Linked DNA regions of Cricetulus griseus. The protein of the gene in region 1 interacts with the protein of each later gene in a pairwise test. Links are inferred from orthologs where the notes say so. Each region holds a gene or a part of one and is shown in the gene's direction. Other genes may lie near its edges. The genes, in order: Fblim1 and Cuta.

What was found.
Region 2: the proteins of Fblim1 (region 1) and Cuta interact in binary tests that used the Homo sapiens proteins (3 or more experiments, as listed by UniProt). The two-hybrid records come from large-scale screens. The link is inferred for Cricetulus griseus from reciprocal best matches to the Homo sapiens genes FBLIM1 and CUTA.

The regions. Positions count from the first base shown.
Region 1 is NC_048595.1:11,653,531-11,657,433, forward strand, and holds the start of Fblim1 (filamin-binding LIM protein 1), read left to right. Parts: upstream 1-1,123; 5' UTR 1,124-1,184; exon of another isoform or gene 1,185-2,694; intron 2,695-2,766; exon of another isoform or gene 2,767-2,903; intron 2,904-2,922; exon of another isoform or gene 2,923-3,050; intron 3,051-3,903. UniProt on the Homo sapiens protein: Serves as an anchoring site for cell-ECM adhesion proteins and filamin-containing actin filaments. Is implicated in cell shape modulation (spreading) and motility.
Region 2 is NW_023276806.1:232,136,581-232,140,028, reverse strand, and holds Cuta (protein CutA), read left to right. Parts: upstream 1-1,279; 5' UTR 1,280-1,343; intron 1,344-1,467; 5' UTR 1,468-1,477; coding exon 1,478-1,519; intron 1,520-1,660; coding exon 1,661-1,869; intron 1,870-1,994; coding exon 1,995-2,054; intron 2,055-2,131; coding exon 2,132-2,207; intron 2,208-2,308; coding exon 2,309-2,358; intron 2,359-2,565; coding exon 2,566-2,698; 3' UTR 2,699-2,763; downstream 2,764-3,448. Other genes in the region: Phf1 (PHD finger protein 1), read right to left, coding at 3,140-3,428. UniProt on the Homo sapiens protein: May form part of a complex of membrane proteins attached to acetylcholinesterase (AChE).

The DNA.
Region 1 (3,903 bases):
CCTCTAGAGGTGGCAGCTACTGTAGCGACTGTCTTTGTCACTCCACACTGGCAGGAAGAACCAAGTGGAAAAGGCTGGTGACAGAGGGAGAGAAGGCTGTTAAAGGGGTGTGGGGCTCAGTTGTGGAGGAAGAGGATGGAGATAAGCACCCCCACTCTGATGTCTTAGTGGGGTGGTCCCTTCAGCAGTAACCGCAGGACCGCTGTGAGGAGTGGATTGGCTGTGGGCTGCAGAAGGGGACCCAATCCTGCCTGGCTGCCCCTGTCCCAGCGATGACTCTGGGTCCAGCTCTCCCCTGTCCCCTCCCCTATTGTGGCTTTAATCAAAAGAACAATCTGCTCGCCTGGGAATCAGACCCAGATTCCGTTCCCCAGCAATGTCCTGAGGCCTCTAGGGACCTGTGCAGCCCAGCCCCAAGCCAGGCCCCAGGCCCCAGGGCTCTGCTTCTTCAGGGGCCAGTAACAGGGCCAGGAAGCAAACAGGTGGCATGATTGTCTGCTCCTGGTCTCCTGTTGGGGCCTCCTCCCCACCGTAGGACCTGAGACCCACTTGTGGAAGGATTAATAGGCTCTGGCAGGCACTGACAGCTCAGGACAGCATACCCAGGTGACTTGCCTCACTGAGGTCTCTGGGGCCCCTGCCCCAGGCATTCCTTGAAAAAGCCCATGACCCCAGCCTATGCGAGTCCCGGATTCTCTTAGCATTATCGCTTTAACTCCAAGCCAAGTTGCAGAGGTGGGCAGTAGGGACTCCCTTTTAGGGATTGAAGAACCCGAGGTTTAGGGAGATAGGGTAACAGTCCCAAGTCATGCGTCTAGCCTCACTCAGGACCCTGAAGGATCTCAGAGCCAAACGGGATGTAAGTACCCCTCCCCACCAGATGGGGCAGGTGGGGCTGCTCATCCAGGTGACCTAGGGGGAAGGTGACCAAAGATCCCCCGGTGCACAGTGGGGAGGGGTCGACGGAGGAGGCGGAGCCACGGGAAGGGGGGAGGAGTGGCGGGAAACAAAAGGAGGGGGCGCGGCTGCAGGTGGGGGGGCAGGTAGGGCGAGCCCGCGCCCCCTCCCCGAGCGTCACCTTTTATGGTAAGGCGCGCGGGGCGGCAGGGCGGAGGGAGGCCGGGGCGGGAGCGAGGGGCGGAGGCGCAGCGCCAGCGGAGGCCGGAGCATGGGGCACGCAGCAGGTAAGTGGGCTCAGCGTGGGGGTCCCAGCCTTGCGCCCCAGGCAGGGACACCCGCAGGTGGCCGCACGGGCAACTCTCATCCACGGCGCTGGCCCCAGCCTGGCGCTGCTGGGGGGTTCGGGGCGGGTACTATCCCTGTGTTCTCTTGTGCCTGTGTGTCCCAGGATCTCAGCCTTTAAAAACTCCGGAGGTTGAGTGCGGGACGGTGCGGTGGGTTCTTGTCCCTGCGCTGAAGTGGAACGGGCTAGCAGGGCGGAAGCTCCTGCACAAAGACGACAGCGTTCCGCACATGGGTTGAATTATAATTGCCGCTGTGACCCGGCCAGCTGCCCCGCTCCGCTGCTGCTCCAGGGCGAGCTCGCGAGTGTGTGTGTGTGGGTGGGGGGGGGTCCCGAGCTCCCACGGCCTTGGAGCCCTGTTCCCAGCTCCAGTTAGGGGACGGGAAGGAAGGGGTCTCCTGGCAGGGTGTGAGAATGAGCGATCCCCAAGGTGTGTGCAGCTACTCCCCCTTCTCTAGCCCAGACCTGAGGTCCCAGGGGAGAGACTGGGCAGCGCCCAGATTCCTGCTCTCAACAATAGAGACCACTGTCCTCCAGCCCCAGGGCTCCGCCTGCCCTCTGGGGCTGAATGACCAGAGCTGGTCTCCTCGAAGCCCCCTCCAGGGCTATTCACTTGATGACTAAACTACCAAGCCCAGAGACGCTGGGTGACTGCAGCAAGGTCACCCAGTAGGAGCCGTGGCCGGGGAGGAGGCAGCTCTGTGCGTCTTCCTCCTCTGGAGCAGGAGAGAGGATGAGAGACCCTTACTTTTTGAGACTTCCAGGTGTCTTGTGGGAGTGAGTGGGGACACACACCCTCCTCCCCGCCTCCAGCAAAGTTTAATTCTGGCTCCAAACTTAGATTGCTTTGTGGGGCTGTGTGAAAGAAAGAACGATGCTTAGAAGTGACTCGGAGGAAAGAACTAGGAACGAGGGGACTACTCCTGGCAGCCAGCACATCCCTTCCCAGGGGCTGTAGCCTAAAGCCGGCCTGGCTGGCTGGCCGGCTCTCAGCCTTCTTCCTTCCTTTTGACAGGAAATGACTTTCCTTCCCTTTGTTCCCACTTTCTCCGCTTACCCGACTGGATCTGGGTGTCTGATTTGCCCTCGGGGGAGGAAGGATGGGGGTGGAGGGTCGGCTGGGAAGTAGTCATACTGCGCCTCCCCCCTCTCCAGGGTGAACTCTGGGGCAGTGAGACCAGAGGGAAGAGCCAGCAGGCTCTCCTTACGGGACCTGACAGGGCTCTGAAAATCCCCAGCGCTGCTCCATCCACGGCCCGCCCGAGGTCCCCTCTGCTGCTTGTCACCGATAGGGGCGGGTATGGCTGCCCAGCTGTGAACATCTGGCCTCCATGCTGGACGTTTCAGAGAAAGCAGGCAGAATGGAGCGGGATCAGACTAGCGGGGAGGAGGTGGGGAGCGTTAGGAAGAGCCACAGCCTGTCCCAGGGGACCCGCCTAGAATGTGTTGACCGCAAGAAACTGGTCTGGGTTGGGTCGTTTGGGGGAAGGGGAGGGACTTGAGGTGGGGGAGGAGACTTGTACAGTCCAGGGAAGAAAAAGTTCAAGGATGCCCGTGGACTTCCAGGTTGCACTCTTCTCTGATAGCATTCCAAGTCTGCTGGAGGACCAGTCTGGTTGGGACTGTGTGACAGAGCCTCTCCCTACAGCTGAGGTGTGAGGTCTGAGCTCTTGACTTTGTAAATGTCTGTTAAGGTTTCTGTTTTAATTCTGAAGACCAAAACTTACAAAACAAGTTCTATTTATGGGGCTGGGGTTGAACTCATGGAAATCCTCCTGCCTCAGCCTCCTGGGTGCTGAGATTACAGGTGTGTATTATCATTTCTGGCTTAAAAATACTTTCGAAGGATCTCTCTGTGTAGCCCTGGCTGTCTTGAACTCACCATGTAGACCAGGCTGGCCTCATACTCACAGAGATCCGCCTGCCTCTGCCTCTCTCTGCCTCTGCCACTAGAGTGCTAGGATTAAAAGTGTGCGGCTCGTACAGTGCCTGGTGCCCCTAGAGCTATTTTATAGTATTTTTTTCTCTGTCAGCCAACAGGAGAGTCCATGTGGGCTGATGCTCCTTGAGAATCAGAGGCAAATCTGTGAGTGACCATGTGGGATCCACCTCTGCCGTTAGAGTGACCCCTCAACGGTCCAGCCCCACTGCTTGAGACTAACCAAATTCCTCCCCAAGTGCTCATGACTGGGCTTCAGTTGCATCATGGTGGCCCATACAGAAAGAGGAAGGGAGATAAAGGACACATTTTTAGCCAGGTGTGCTATAGTTGGGTGCCAGGGAGGACTTCGGTGGCCAGTTCACCCCCAGTGACCCGCCTAGACCTCAGCCCCAGAGGCTTCTATGCCCTTCCCAACATGGCGGTACTTCCTCTGCACAGATCTCTGCTTCCATACCTGCTTCTGTGAGCTGCTGTCTGGCTCCTGATGCAGACAGCTGAAGACAGGCAAGGTTACCCGAGGGGATCAGACACATGGATAGTGAGCCATCGGTACTATGAGGATCTGTTCTTATCCTGAGGAAGCCACAGATTGCCCCAGGGTGGGAGTCAAGGGAGGCTTTGTAGAGGACAGGTGAAGTCTGAACTGGGTCTCAGAGAGCTGAAATTAACTCCTTAAGAACAGAAAGGGGAAAAAAGACTGGATCCTCTAGTGGGAAGA
Region 2 (3,448 bases), on another chromosome or scaffold:
AGAGACCCCCTCTCAAAAGAAGGAACCCCCCCCCAGGACTCGTAGAATCTCAGAATCCAGACCCACGTTAGCCCTAGACTTCAGACCCTCGATTGGTAGTTAGGGGGACCCAAAACATAGACCTAGACGAAAAGGGAAACCAGTATTAGAAAGAGCCCCAGGCCAGAATTACATGTTAGGACCTAGCCAGAGATGAGAAGCCCCAGATTCATTCGTATGTCAGAGAAAACAAGCTGCACACTTGGGGGTGAGGGGCACATTCGGCTGACCCACAGATGGAGAGAGGGGACCACAAGCGACGTGAAACTCACTGAACCTGAGAGGTCTTAGTGGGTGATCACTGGACTCAAGTCGCAGAAACCACTCCAAAGATAACTCGGACCCCAGCTATAAAACCCCAAATATCGGACCCCCTCCCTACACACACACACACAGGGATCTCTCTGGGACCGGGAGGCCGCCCCCAACTCTACAGGGACCTGGAAGAGCCTGAACTCAGCCTGGGGAAATCCCAGCCAACCACGCCAGGGACCCCGGGCCCTGGCGCTGACACAGGGGTGACATTTAGGAGGCAGAGCGTCACCCCGCCGCGCCGCCTCCTCCCTTCCCTGACCTCTCACTGGCCCCCTCTCCATTTTTGGGTCACTGGGTGTGTGTGGGCCCCAGGGAGGTTATGTAGGGCAGGTCCTGGTTCTGGGGGGCGGATGAAGGTAAGGCGAGCCAAGACTGAGGGTGGGCCGCTCCTGGGGACAGGCTCGCGCGGGGCCCACGCCAGCCCTGGCCTGCCACCTCGTGTGCCCTGGTCTCACGGGCAGGGAGCCCGGCTAGGCCTGGGCTCCCGGCCTCCCACCGCCTGTCTCCCGGGCCCATTTACGGGGCCACTCCTCGGCCAGCCGCGGCTCACACCCGGGGACAGCGGGGACGGCGGGCTAGAGGGGCGGGGCGCTAACGCGGGGCGGGGCGGGGCGGAGGAGGAGGCGGAGCAGGAGGAGGAGGGGGAGGGACTGTTACTAGGCACATTCCGGGCCCGGCCTGAGGCAGCCACGGCGTCACGTGGCCCGCGAGGCTGGCCGCCGATTGGCCTCCGCCCGCCGCTCCTGAGGCGGCGCCGCGTGAGAGGACGAGGGCCGTCACGTGACGGCCGCCGCCGCAGCGGCCCCGCCCCCTCCCCGCCGGCCGCGCGCGAAGGGCTTCACGGAAATGGGCGGGCCACTTCCGCGCACGTCCTCAGTGCTGGTTGTCGATTGGCCAGCGGGCCGTCGGCCCCGCCCCCTCGGGAGGAGGGCCGGGATTGGCCGGATCTGGGCAGGCCAGGCCGCTGCCGTCACGTGGCTGCCGCGCAGGTAAGAGGCGGCGGCCGCCCCGGGCCGGGCGCGTCCCCCGAGAGGCGCGCGAGGGCGAGCGGGCGGCCTGAGATCTGTCTGTCTGTGTGTGTGTGTCTGTCTGTCTGCTCCCTCACTCCACCAGCCCCGCCTGCATGAGCTGGGGGCGGGCGCCCGTCGTCCTGCTCGGCGGAGGGGTGAGTCTGGCCCCGCCCCTTCCGGTCTCCAAGTTTCCCCGGGTTCAGTACCCCGAGATTCCCGAGGGCGGGGAGGGCGGGCGCGGGGCTTTTTCCTCCCGGGGGCACTGGTGGGGACGCTGAGTCCGCCCCTGCGCCCAGGCCACGCTGCTCCTGTCGCTGCTGTGGATGCCCGCGCTGCTGCCGGCGGCTTCCCGCCTTCTCCTGCTCCCCCGGGCCTGGCTGTCAATGGCTTCTGCAAGCCCTCCGCCCCAGTCCTCCCCGGCCTCGGGCTCCGGCTACGTCCCAGGGTCAGTTTCTGCGGCCTTCGTCACTTGTCCCAACGAGAAAGTCGCCAGGGAGATCGCCAGGTGGGCAGCTGCAGGGCAGAGCTGGGCCAGGGGCTGCGCGCGGCCCGGGAGCGGGCTCGGGGCTGCCAGCGTGGCTCCAGGCTGGGCGCACTCTGAGCGGGCTCCCGATCCACCCTCACCCTCAGGGCCGTGGTAGAGAAGCGCCTGGCAGCCTGCGTCAACCTCGTCCCGCAGATCTCCTCCATGTGAGTCGTCAGCCACAAACTTCATCTAACTGCAGGGGCTGACAGCATTTTCAGGGGGGGGGTCTTTCTTTCCCAAGACTTTGTTCCCTTCTCTCTGATCTCTCCAGCTACGAATGGAAAGGAAAGATCGAGGAAGACAGTGAGGTGCTGATGGTGAGAAGATCCCCCTCTTGTCTGTCTCCTTGGACGACCCTAGCCCTCACCTGACGTCAGCTCCACCCCTTGGTTGAACTATGTCTGTCTTTGCCCTTTAGATGATTAAAACCCAGAGCTCCCTGGTCCCTGCTCTGACAGAGTTCGTTCGGTAAGAGCTTTAAGGGTTCCTTTTGTGGTGGCACTGGGGGATGAAGCAGGGACTCGAGCATTTCAGGCAAGCACCGCGTGTTATATAACCCCCCGCTCACTAAAAGAGCACTGGGGTGGACCTTGCTGGGAAGGTCCCGGACTGTTGAGTGGGGGCGTGTGCCTTTGGGTGACTGACTGAATAACCCCAGCCCTGTCACTTCTGCAGGTCTGTGCACCCTTACGAAGTTGCTGAGGTGATTGCCTTGCCTGTGGAGCAGGGAAACCCCCCATACCTGCATTGGGTGCGCCAGGTTACAGAGTCAGTTTCAGATTCTGGCACCACCCCCTCCTCTGCTTAATGCCCTCCGGTTTCCAGGTGATGGTGACTGAGTCCCCAATAAATCCTCCTTTCCCTTGTAACGTAGATGTGGTTGGTGAAGATTCTTGTATTCTGTCCTCAGAATGACCCGTGTCTACTAGGTTTGTTTATTTCTCTTTATTACAGTCATACAGAGTCTGGAATCCTGGACCACCACCCCCATCTCTATACCCAGGGGTTAAATAGTTTTAAAAATATTTTAAAAGCTGTAACAAAATAACATCAAAGGAAATGAGAAGGATGAGGGTCAGGGGTCATGAAGGGGCAGAGAGGAGGACTTCCCCACTCCCCTGGATTCCAGCCTGGGCAGTAGGGAGAACTACTCCCTATCTCTCCAGGTACATCCCAGCTGTAGGTGAGGTCAGAGGTCAGGGCATGAAAGTGCCAGTGTGTGGACGGGGAGGTGGGCAGGAGAGGGCTGTCAGAAGATGCCCCCTCCTCCCCACTCAACTAGGTACTGCACAGAGCCGTCGGGCCGCACCCTCCGAGCGAGGACCCTGACAGGGTCCCCTCGAGACAGGTAGCCAACCCCACCTCGGACTCCTCCCCCGGTCCCTGGAGACAGACTATGGCACAAGGGAGAAGGGGGCACTGAGTGTCTGGAAAGGCCTGGGATGGGAGCTGGGGCTGAGGAGGATGAGGCAGCCATTGAGTGGGGAGAACTTTTAGGGATGTCGGTGGGGAAGCCAATGTGGAGTTCCAGGGGTGACCTGGAAGAGAGAAGACAACA